Sus scrofa: one gene and its partners. The protein of the gene in region 3 interacts with the protein of the main gene of each other region in a biochemical or structural test. Links are inferred from orthologs where the notes say so. Each region holds a gene or a part of one and is shown on either strand. Other genes may lie near its edges.

Region 1 (2,592 bases), on a different chromosome or scaffold from region 3:
TATATATACATGGTATAATTATAACAGTGGAAAAAATCCAATCAAAGACTAGTAAATACTACCCTAAACTGTCATACATGTGCATAAGAGGATATATTTAAGAATGTTCATTGTAGCATCATTTGTAATAGATACCATCTAAATCTTCACTTACTGGAGAATGACACACTATAGCCATACAATGAAATACTAATGACTTTCTCTCTTTTTTTTTTTTGTCTTTATAGGGCAGCACCCACAGCATATGGAAGTTCCCAGGCTGGGGGTCAGATTGGAGATACAGCTGCTGTCCTACACCACAGCTCACAGCAACGCCAGCTCCTTAACACACTGAAGGGGCCAGGGATCAAACCTGCATCCTCATGGATGCTAGTCGGGTTAGTTACTGCTGAGCCACAAGGAGAACTCCCTAGTGACTTTCTAATTGCCTCTTTTAGTTTAGATAAGTCTTAAAAACATAATGTTAAAGAGAAAAAGCAAATTGCGAAACGATATGAACAGCATACTATTTACACAATTTAAGAATATGTAAAATACTATAATTTTAAAATATAATACAACCATGAAAAAAAACTATAATTTAAGTATACATGCATAGGTAGTAAAAGCATAAAATCATGCGTGTGCTTATGAATCCTGAATTCATCACAGTGATTACATCCAGAGAGGGAGAAAAGGGAACTGGATTGGGCATGGGTAGCATGACTGTGTGTTTGAAATACTTCACCAATAAATAAGTAAATAAATAAATATTAACAAATACCAATACTAAAAGGAAATATACCAAACAGGTATATTCTACTTCTTGATCTTTTTCAAATTTAAAAATAATGAATAAGCAACTTATATGGTTCTTTTTTTTTTTTTTTTTTTGCTTTTTTTTTGCTTTTCAGGGCCTCATCTGCAGCATATGGAGGTTTCCAGGCTAGGGGTCCAATTGGAGCTATAGCCGCCGGCCTATACCACAGTCACAGCAATGCGAGACCTGAGCCATGTCTGTGACCTACACCACAGCTCAAGGCAACGCCGGATCCCTAACCCACTGAGCAAGGCCAGGGACCAAACTTGTAACCTCATGGCTCCTGGTCAGATTCATTTCCACTGCGCTACGATGGGAACTCCAATAGCAACTTATATAAATATTTTTGAAAATTTCACTCAAGGAGTTCCCGTTGCGGCACAGCAGAAACAAATCTGCCTAGTATCCATGGGGATGCAGGTTTGATCCCTGGCCTTGCCCAGTGGGTTGGCGATCTGGCATTGCTGTGAACTGTGGTGGAGGTCACAGATGTGGCTTGGATCCTGCATTGCTGTGGTTGTGTATGCTGGCAGCTATAGCTCTGATTTGACCCCCAGCCTGGGAACTTCCATATGCTGAGGATGTGGCCCTAAAAAGCAAAAAGAAAAAAGAAAATAAACTCAGCAAATCTTTGCTGAATGAATCAATAAATGCAAAGTATAAGAGCCAATATTGCTTAGCTCAACCTTGTGGGTTTTCGCAACACCTGCTGAAGAGATACCTCAGCTAGTTCTTGAAAAATGAATGAGTGGTTAACAAGCAAAGCCAGGAAGTCAGGGAAGACTGTTGAATGGAAAGAGTACAGGAGGATGCAGAGATATGAAATGAGAAGTCTGGTATCACTAGAACATCCTATGCCAGAAAGGAAGGGCAGGAAATAAGGCTTGGGAAAACCTGGGCTAGGGACGTAAAGAATCCCGAATTAATTCTGGATTAATTAATTAATCCTGTTCAAACATATGCTGTAGCACCTAATTAATACCTTTTACTAATAAAATCTATCTACAAAGCTGTCTCCCTCATTAGTCTACACTAAGAGTAGAGGGCAGAAACTTCCTGTGCTCTTGTGTATCCCTAGGGCAAGGCAGAGGGACTGGCTCACTAAGTATTCAGGTACTGAGCTGGCAGAGGCCTAGAAAGGCTTGTGAAGAGAATGCTTACCGTAAACACTTTTAAGGCAGCACAGTGTAGTTCAGGGAAAGGTTGATTACTGATGCCACGGAAGAGCTCCAGCGGGTCCCGAGATAAAGAAGAAAACCAGGATTCTGTCATCCTCAGGAGGTCATCAGTCTGCTGTTCAGGCTACAGGACGGAAAAGGAAAATCTCAGGACACTAGAAAGTCAGGAAACCTGGATTCTGATCATACTCTGTCTTTAACTTGCTGTGTGGTCTCTGCCAAGCCTGAAGTGCTTCCCCCTAAACTCAGCCCAAACTGCCCCAGTTTTTTGCTTTTTTTGGGGGGGGGGGTTGATTAAGCAATTTCTAGGGTGCTCTCCAGCTTTTTTGTTCATTTTTTGGCATGTGAAAGTTCCCAGGCCAAGGACTGAACCTGCACCGTAGAGATGACCGGAGTTACAGCAGTGACAATATTGGATCCTTAACCTGCAGAGACACCAGGGAACTCTCCTTTCCAGTTTTAACATTCTACGATTCCACTTTAACTTAAAAAATGTCACCAGTCATAAATGAGGGTTATCTTCTTTCACTACAAGTGAGAAAGATGGCGTTTTTTGGTCAACATTTATAGTAAGTTAACCAGTATTATGTTGATTCATACAGATTTCTTCTCCCC
Region 2 (2,449 bases), on a different chromosome or scaffold from region 3:
GCTCCTCCCTCTCGCGCATGGCCTTGGTCCGCAGCACGCTCAGCCGCTCCACGGCCTCAGACCGCAGCCTCTGCTCCCGCTTTATCTCTTCGGCAGTGAGGTTGAAGAAATCCATGGGCAGATCGAACTGGGAGGCCAGGGGCGAGGGCCGGAAGACCCGGCACTGACGGGCCAGTGTGGCCCGCACAGGCTCGGCGTGCAACAGCTGCTCTTTGTGCCGTTCCAGACTCTGTAGCTGGGCCAAGGCCGCCTCGCTCAGCACGTAGAACTCTTCAGGGCCCTCTGTGACATACAGGGATGTCAACTCTGAGCCAGGCCCCTCCCACCACCCTCTTTGGGCTCAGCCAAGGCTCTTCTCTATTCGTCTTACCCTGGTCAGGGACTGGAAGCAGTGCCTTCTGGAAGCCGATGGCCTCAAAAAACTCGTGGGTCCCTTCCAGGCAGTTAATGCGCTCCTGAGAGCAGAACCAGAGGTCATATGGGACCTTGGAGGCCCCCATGCACCCCACCAGCCTTGTTGCTCACCCCATCCTCCTCCCAAAGTCCCGGGTCTCAGAGCTGCTCTGTCCCCAGAGAGGATGAACCCCTGAAGCTGTCTGTGGGGCTTAGCTTACATAGGGCCTGGGACCCTGAAAGGTCAACACCAGAGCAAAGGAGGCTGAGGGGCGAGGGAATCCCCAAAAGTGAGGGAGGTGGGCTGTGTGATGCTGGGCTTCAGAGGGGGCCACCAGTAAACAGTGGAGCCCTGCCAGCTGCACAGGTACCAAAGGGCCAGGGTGGGAGGCCCTTTGATTTCTCCACAGAAACCAGAAGTCTGTCCGTGAAAAATCTCCCCAGTGCTGATGTGTTTCCAATGAATTCAAAGAAAAGCCGAAACATGCTGTGGCTGGTGGGGAGAGCAGACACTGTATGCATACTGTACACAACCTGTGCTTAGGAATCCCCCTCCCCACCTGCCAACTCCCAACTCCTGCAGGGGCCTTTCTGCAGCCTGGCTCTGGCCCCCTCTGGCTATCTGCAGGCCACCTGCTCCTACTGCTGGACTGGGTCCTGGGTGGCCTCGGGCCTGGCCATGCTAGCCACACCAGGCTAAGTCTGGTGGCAGCCCTCACCTGGAACACCTTGTTCTGCAGCTTGATCTTCCGGTATTTCTCCTCCTCCGGATGCAGGTGGATATTATCCAAGTACCTGGGGTGAACAAGGATGGCAGCTCACAGCCACGTCAGCTTGTACTACGAGTGACCCAGGAAAGCCTGCCATCATACCCTGGACACCCTCGGAGCCCAACCCCTGCTGCCCCCATCACTGGGCCTCCTCAGTCTAGGCTCTCCCACTGGGGGCACTGAGGAACCACCACGGTGGGGTGGAGCAGGCAGAGACAGAATAATGGTGCCCAGAGATAGCTCAGAGGCTCCTGGGCAACATGGACCCCTGGGCCCCTCTGGACCTGCTCAGTCAGAGGAACTGGGGGCAGGGGAAAACCCTGCCTCCTTCATGTTCTGATGCTCTGGGAGGGAAGTCAGGGTTGGGAACCCCTAAATTGGCAAAACTCTTCGTTTTAGAGATAGCTAAACTGAGGCCCAGAGAGGCCAAGCCCCCTCCCCAAGGGCTTAGGGGAGTGAAGGGTGGGGCCTGGCTGCACTCCCAGGGCCATGCTCCCTCCAGGCTCCCTCAGCAGGTTGCAATGGAGGCCTAGGAGCTGGGACCCTGGTGGGAGGGGTGGGGTCCACCCACTCACTTGGCAATGGTGTCCACGCCCAGCTTCACCCGGTCACGGTCCTTGTTGAACGTGTGGATCTTCATGATAGAAGCAGCCACTGGGTCGGTGGAAAAGTGCTGGGAGGAGGGAGGAAAGCGAGTCAGAAAGGGCCCACCGGAGTTCATGTTGTGGCTCAGCGGTAATGAATCCAACTAGTATCTATGAGGATATGGGTTTGATCCCTGGCCTCGCTCAGTGGGTTAAGGATCTGGCATTGCCGTGAGCTGTGGTGTAGGTAGAAGATGTAGCTTGGATTGGCCTTGTGTCTGTGATCTGGGCCAGTGGCTACATTTCCAATTTGACCCCTATCCTGGGAACTTTCATATGCCGTGGGTGTGGCCCTAAAAGGACAAAAAAAAAAAAAAAAAAGAAAGTGCCCATTTTGGCGCCTGGAGGCCATGCCAGCCAAGCAACTGGGTCTAGTGACACCAGTGATAACAGAACTTTCTCACAGCAGGCCCTAGCATGTGACCAAAGCAAACTCGATCGTGCAGGCCCAGCAGAACAAGGAGAAAAGCCCTTTTGAGAACTCCAGCCTGGGCCTCACCCTCCCCCCACCTCTAGGAAAGAGGGGGCATTGGCAGCCTGGGTTACGCCACCCTAGGTTGGTCTGACACACATCTTTGCTTTCTGCTCTGGAGCCCAAACCCAGCACTAAGCACCGCCAAGGGCGCTGCAGCCTCTAGATCC
Region 3 (3,760 bases):
ATAAGTGTCCAAAGGAGAAATGCCTGTGACAAGTTCACATTGAATTTTGAAAAGTAAAAGCAAAAATTCCACACAGCTGTGAAACACTCCTTGCGCTGGACCTGAAAGCTGACAGAACTTTGCGGATTGCTCTTCGGCCTTCCTGTTTTGTTCCCGATTATGAGCAAGAAGGCATCAGAATTTCACTTCTGCTGCCATTTGAACTCAGAAATCAGAAATCAAATCTATTTAAACCCACGTTTTCTTTTTTTCTTTTTTTTAATTTTATTTTTTAATGAAGTTTTTTATTGTAGTTGATTTATAATGTCAATTTCTGCTTTACAGCAAAATGATAGTCATGCATATATATACATTTCCTTTCTTATCGCTGAGCCTGAGATTTTTAAAAGGACACTAATTGTAAGTTCTGTATAGTCCTGGTGGAAAAAAGACCCCAAGTATGAAATTTAAATCTATAGACAAATTCCATTTGGATAAAAGAAAAAGATCACCAGTCAGATCTTTTTCATTTTGATATTTTATTTTGTGATCTCTGTGTCATTTCTCCAGCATATTTTTTCCTTTTTTCAAAAAGCATACTTAAATTTTTTTCCAAAGGCATATTTTAAAAATGTTTTAAAATATATGAACGTGATGAAAACTTAAAACAGGTTTTCTATAGTTTATAATGAAAAACCTCCCTCATGCACTCAATTCCCTAGCCACTGTTCTTTCTAGACTCTTCTAGAAATATTCTCTATTTCTATAAATGTGGGGAGGGTGTTTTTAATTTTTACCCTTGAAGCTTTCAATAAATATATAGAAAAAGAGAGAACCGACTAAAAAATACCCTGCTATTAGGAAAAGACTACATTCCTGTTGGAATTATAAACATTATGTTATTTAAATACTGTACTTAAAATGAGAATAAAAACAAAACTATGTTTTCTTTGGCAACCTGTGTCTGTAGGTATTTATGGGAAAGGTCTAAGCAGTATTCAAAACAGACTTTAACTCCTATCGTTTTAAACATTTTCAAAGAGAATGAATTCATTACCAAGAAATGTAAATGAATAATAAAAATAAAATGTCATTTTTCAGTTTAGCAGGAGACCTCAGTGACTTCCAGTAGAGATTTCTGTGAGGGATATTTCTAAATTTCTGAAAAGAGGGTTTAAAGGAACAGAACATCAAAGCTCTGTATAAGGTTTCCTTCTTGAATTCCAGAAAGAAGTTTTCAGAGGAACAAAAAGCTGAGGTTCTTTCTCAGGTGACTAGGCCTGGCTTCAAACCACACCCTGTTTTCTTTTGGCTGTTCTTTCACTGCAGGTCTTATGATTCATGTTGTTTAAAGGCTGAGTCACGAGCTTTGTGACATAGCTTTTTTTTCAAGAGTCCAAAAACTACAGAGAAAAACAGACCTGATTTCAGAGGCAAGGGAAGGTGAAAAGGAGAAAGAGGGGGAGAGGGGGAAGAAGAAAGGCTCCAAGGGTGAGGACTGGGTCCCAGGGCTATCTCCAAAGAGAAAACAATATTCTTAGGCGCTAACAACACTGATGTTGTCTCTAGCAGGAAAATTCTCTACTAGAGAATTTTGGTCTCTAAGTCCAACAGTGGGTTTTGTTGAAGCAAATAGAAATAAACATTTGTCCAAGGGCACTGAAGTGAAAGGGAGGAGGGGGAAGTAAACTCTCAGGGAGGTAGATGCTGTTTCTCTAGAGCAGTGGTTCTCAACCAGGAGCGACTTGGTCCCTTGGTGGACACTTGGCAGTATCTGGAGACATTTTTGCTTGTCACAGCTGTGGTGTTGGGGTTGAGGTGTGCCGCTAAAATCTAGTGGTAGAGGCCAGGGATGTTACTAAACATCCTGCAGTGGCCAGTCCCCCACAAAAACAGAATTACCCAGCCCCCAAAGTCAGCAATGCAATGGGTTGACAAATTCTGCTCTACGGAGGATTTTTGTTGTTTTTGTTAGAGCTGCTTTTCTGTTTGCTGAGAAGGGCTCCCAAAGTCTAAATGTCCCACTTGGATTCGGGGATCGTGTACCAAGTCACGTTCCTACAACCTAAAATCCCTTGACCTAGAATGCAATGTGCTAGAATATGCCAGAAGCAGGATGAGTCATTGGATCCATTTTCAGTTCCTTCCACCCACTGATCCATCCTTTGCAGGTGCCCCAGAAGGGATGGCTTCAGAGCTGGCACCAATGGAAGAGTGACAGAGGCCCAGCAACACGGCAGGATTGGCGGGCAGGCAAGAGCACGTGATGGGCTGAGCTCACAAAGGGCCTGGGTGTTGGGCTGTTGGGGATTGGACTGGAGCCTACCTGTCTGCCTTTCCTCCTTTCCCCAAAGGATTCAGCTCTCCTGAAGGTCACCACCTTGTATGGGACTTAACTCAGCGTCATGAGAGTGTCTACGTAGTGACCAGCAAACATTTTCTTTCCAAGAGAAAGGGTGAAATCTGAGAGCTGGACGGGAAAGGTTTGACTTGCGTCATCATCAGTTATATAACCATAAAAGGGAATCTGCAGCTTAGGAGAGAAAAAATAAAAAGAAGCCCTAGGGACTCTACTCTGTCCGTTTTCCTGCTTACATTTATGTATTTGCATTCTGTGGCAGAACACAAACTGCTCCAGCTTAAAAATAACCCATCTTATCCCCCCGCCAGTCAGGAAGTCAGATTCAGTTCCAGTACCCAAATTTGCCTAACTTAGAAACACTAAGAAATTTTTTAACTCACTGGGGTTTTGTTTTGTTTTTTAATTTGCTGTTTTTAAATTGTGGCAAAATACACATAAAAATGTATCATCTTAACTATTTTTAAGTGTACAGCTCAGTGGCATTAATTATATTGTAGGGGAGGAAAAATAATTTTCCTTTTGGGAATCCTTCTTTTAGCTGAGACCCCTGTAATGAAAGACAGATTAGCAAGAGAAACAAAACAAAAGAAAACAAAAACAATAGTTTAGTAATATGCACACCTTGTGTATATATGGGAGCTACCCTCTGGGGGAAAATGTGTCACTTAAAAAAAAGGCTTTAGAATTTAGGCTTAAATACCATCTTAATAGGAAATTCTCTTAAAGGGAGAGTAAATAATTTTTACTGAGAAAATAGAAGAATAGATGGAGACAAGATAGTTGATGACAAAGTTTGGTGTCAAAGTTTGTCTCTCCTGTTTTAAGAGCCAATCTTCCCTGGTTGGTGAAAACTCCCTTGAGTTTCTTTTGCAAAATCTGTCTGGGCAGATTAGGGGAGTTGAGTGAAAGCCTCACTCTGCATTTGCTGCTTTTCAAGTGACTACACCTCAAAACAATATCAAATTGGGGTATTTGGGTGTCCATCACTGCCATCTGTGTCCACTCTTCGGCTTGCTAGACTGAAATTTTGTACGCATTAAACACTAACTACCCCCACCCCCAGCCCTGGGCAACCACCATTCTATTTTCTGTCTCTATGAATTTGACAAGTTTTTGGTACCTCATATAATGAGTTTTGTTAGTTTGTTTTTTAACTATGAAATAAAATCTAATTATTGAAAACATGTTTTCCAAAGATTCATGACATCTTTTCTAGAAAGTTCTGTCTCCCAGGACAAGCCTTGTTATTTGTTCTGTATGGTATTTTTTTTTTTTTTTTGTCATTGTGCTATCAGAAATACTGAATTATAAGACACAAAGTAAAACAGAAGCACATGATTCATGTTAGGCCTGGTAACTTTAGAATATTTTGTTCTTTTAACACCTTGTTGACATTTAGGGAGAAATAACCTTTACAGA

Evidence for each region.
Region 1: the proteins of UBC (region 3) and PSMD5 form a complex in vitro, tested with the Homo sapiens proteins (2 studies listed by BioGRID). The link is inferred for Sus scrofa from reciprocal best matches to the Homo sapiens genes UBC and PSMD5.
Region 2: the proteins of UBC (region 3) and UBXN6 form a complex in vitro, tested with the Homo sapiens proteins (2 studies listed by BioGRID). The link is inferred for Sus scrofa from reciprocal best matches to the Homo sapiens genes UBC and UBXN6.

Annotation. Positions count from the first base shown.
Region 1 is NC_010443.5:260,849,226-260,851,817, forward strand, and holds part of PSMD5 (26S proteasome non-ATPase regulatory subunit 5), read right to left. Parts: intron 2,102-2,592; coding exon 1,961-2,101; intron 1-1,960. UniProt on the Homo sapiens protein: Acts as a chaperone during the assembly of the 26S proteasome, specifically of the base subcomplex of the PA700/19S regulatory complex (RC).
Region 2 is NC_010444.4:74,374,472-74,376,920, reverse strand, and holds part of UBXN6 (UBX domain-containing protein 6), read right to left. Parts: intron 1,837-2,449; coding exon 1,739-1,836; intron 1,189-1,738; coding exon 1,113-1,188; intron 456-1,112; coding exon 371-455; intron 283-370; coding exon 1-282. UniProt on the Homo sapiens protein: May negatively regulate the ATPase activity of VCP, an ATP-driven segregase that associates with different cofactors to control a wide variety of cellular processes.
Region 3 is NC_010456.5:28,252,458-28,256,217, reverse strand, and holds the start of UBC (polyubiquitin-C), read right to left. Parts: upstream 2,362-3,760; 5' UTR 2,306-2,361; intron 1-2,305.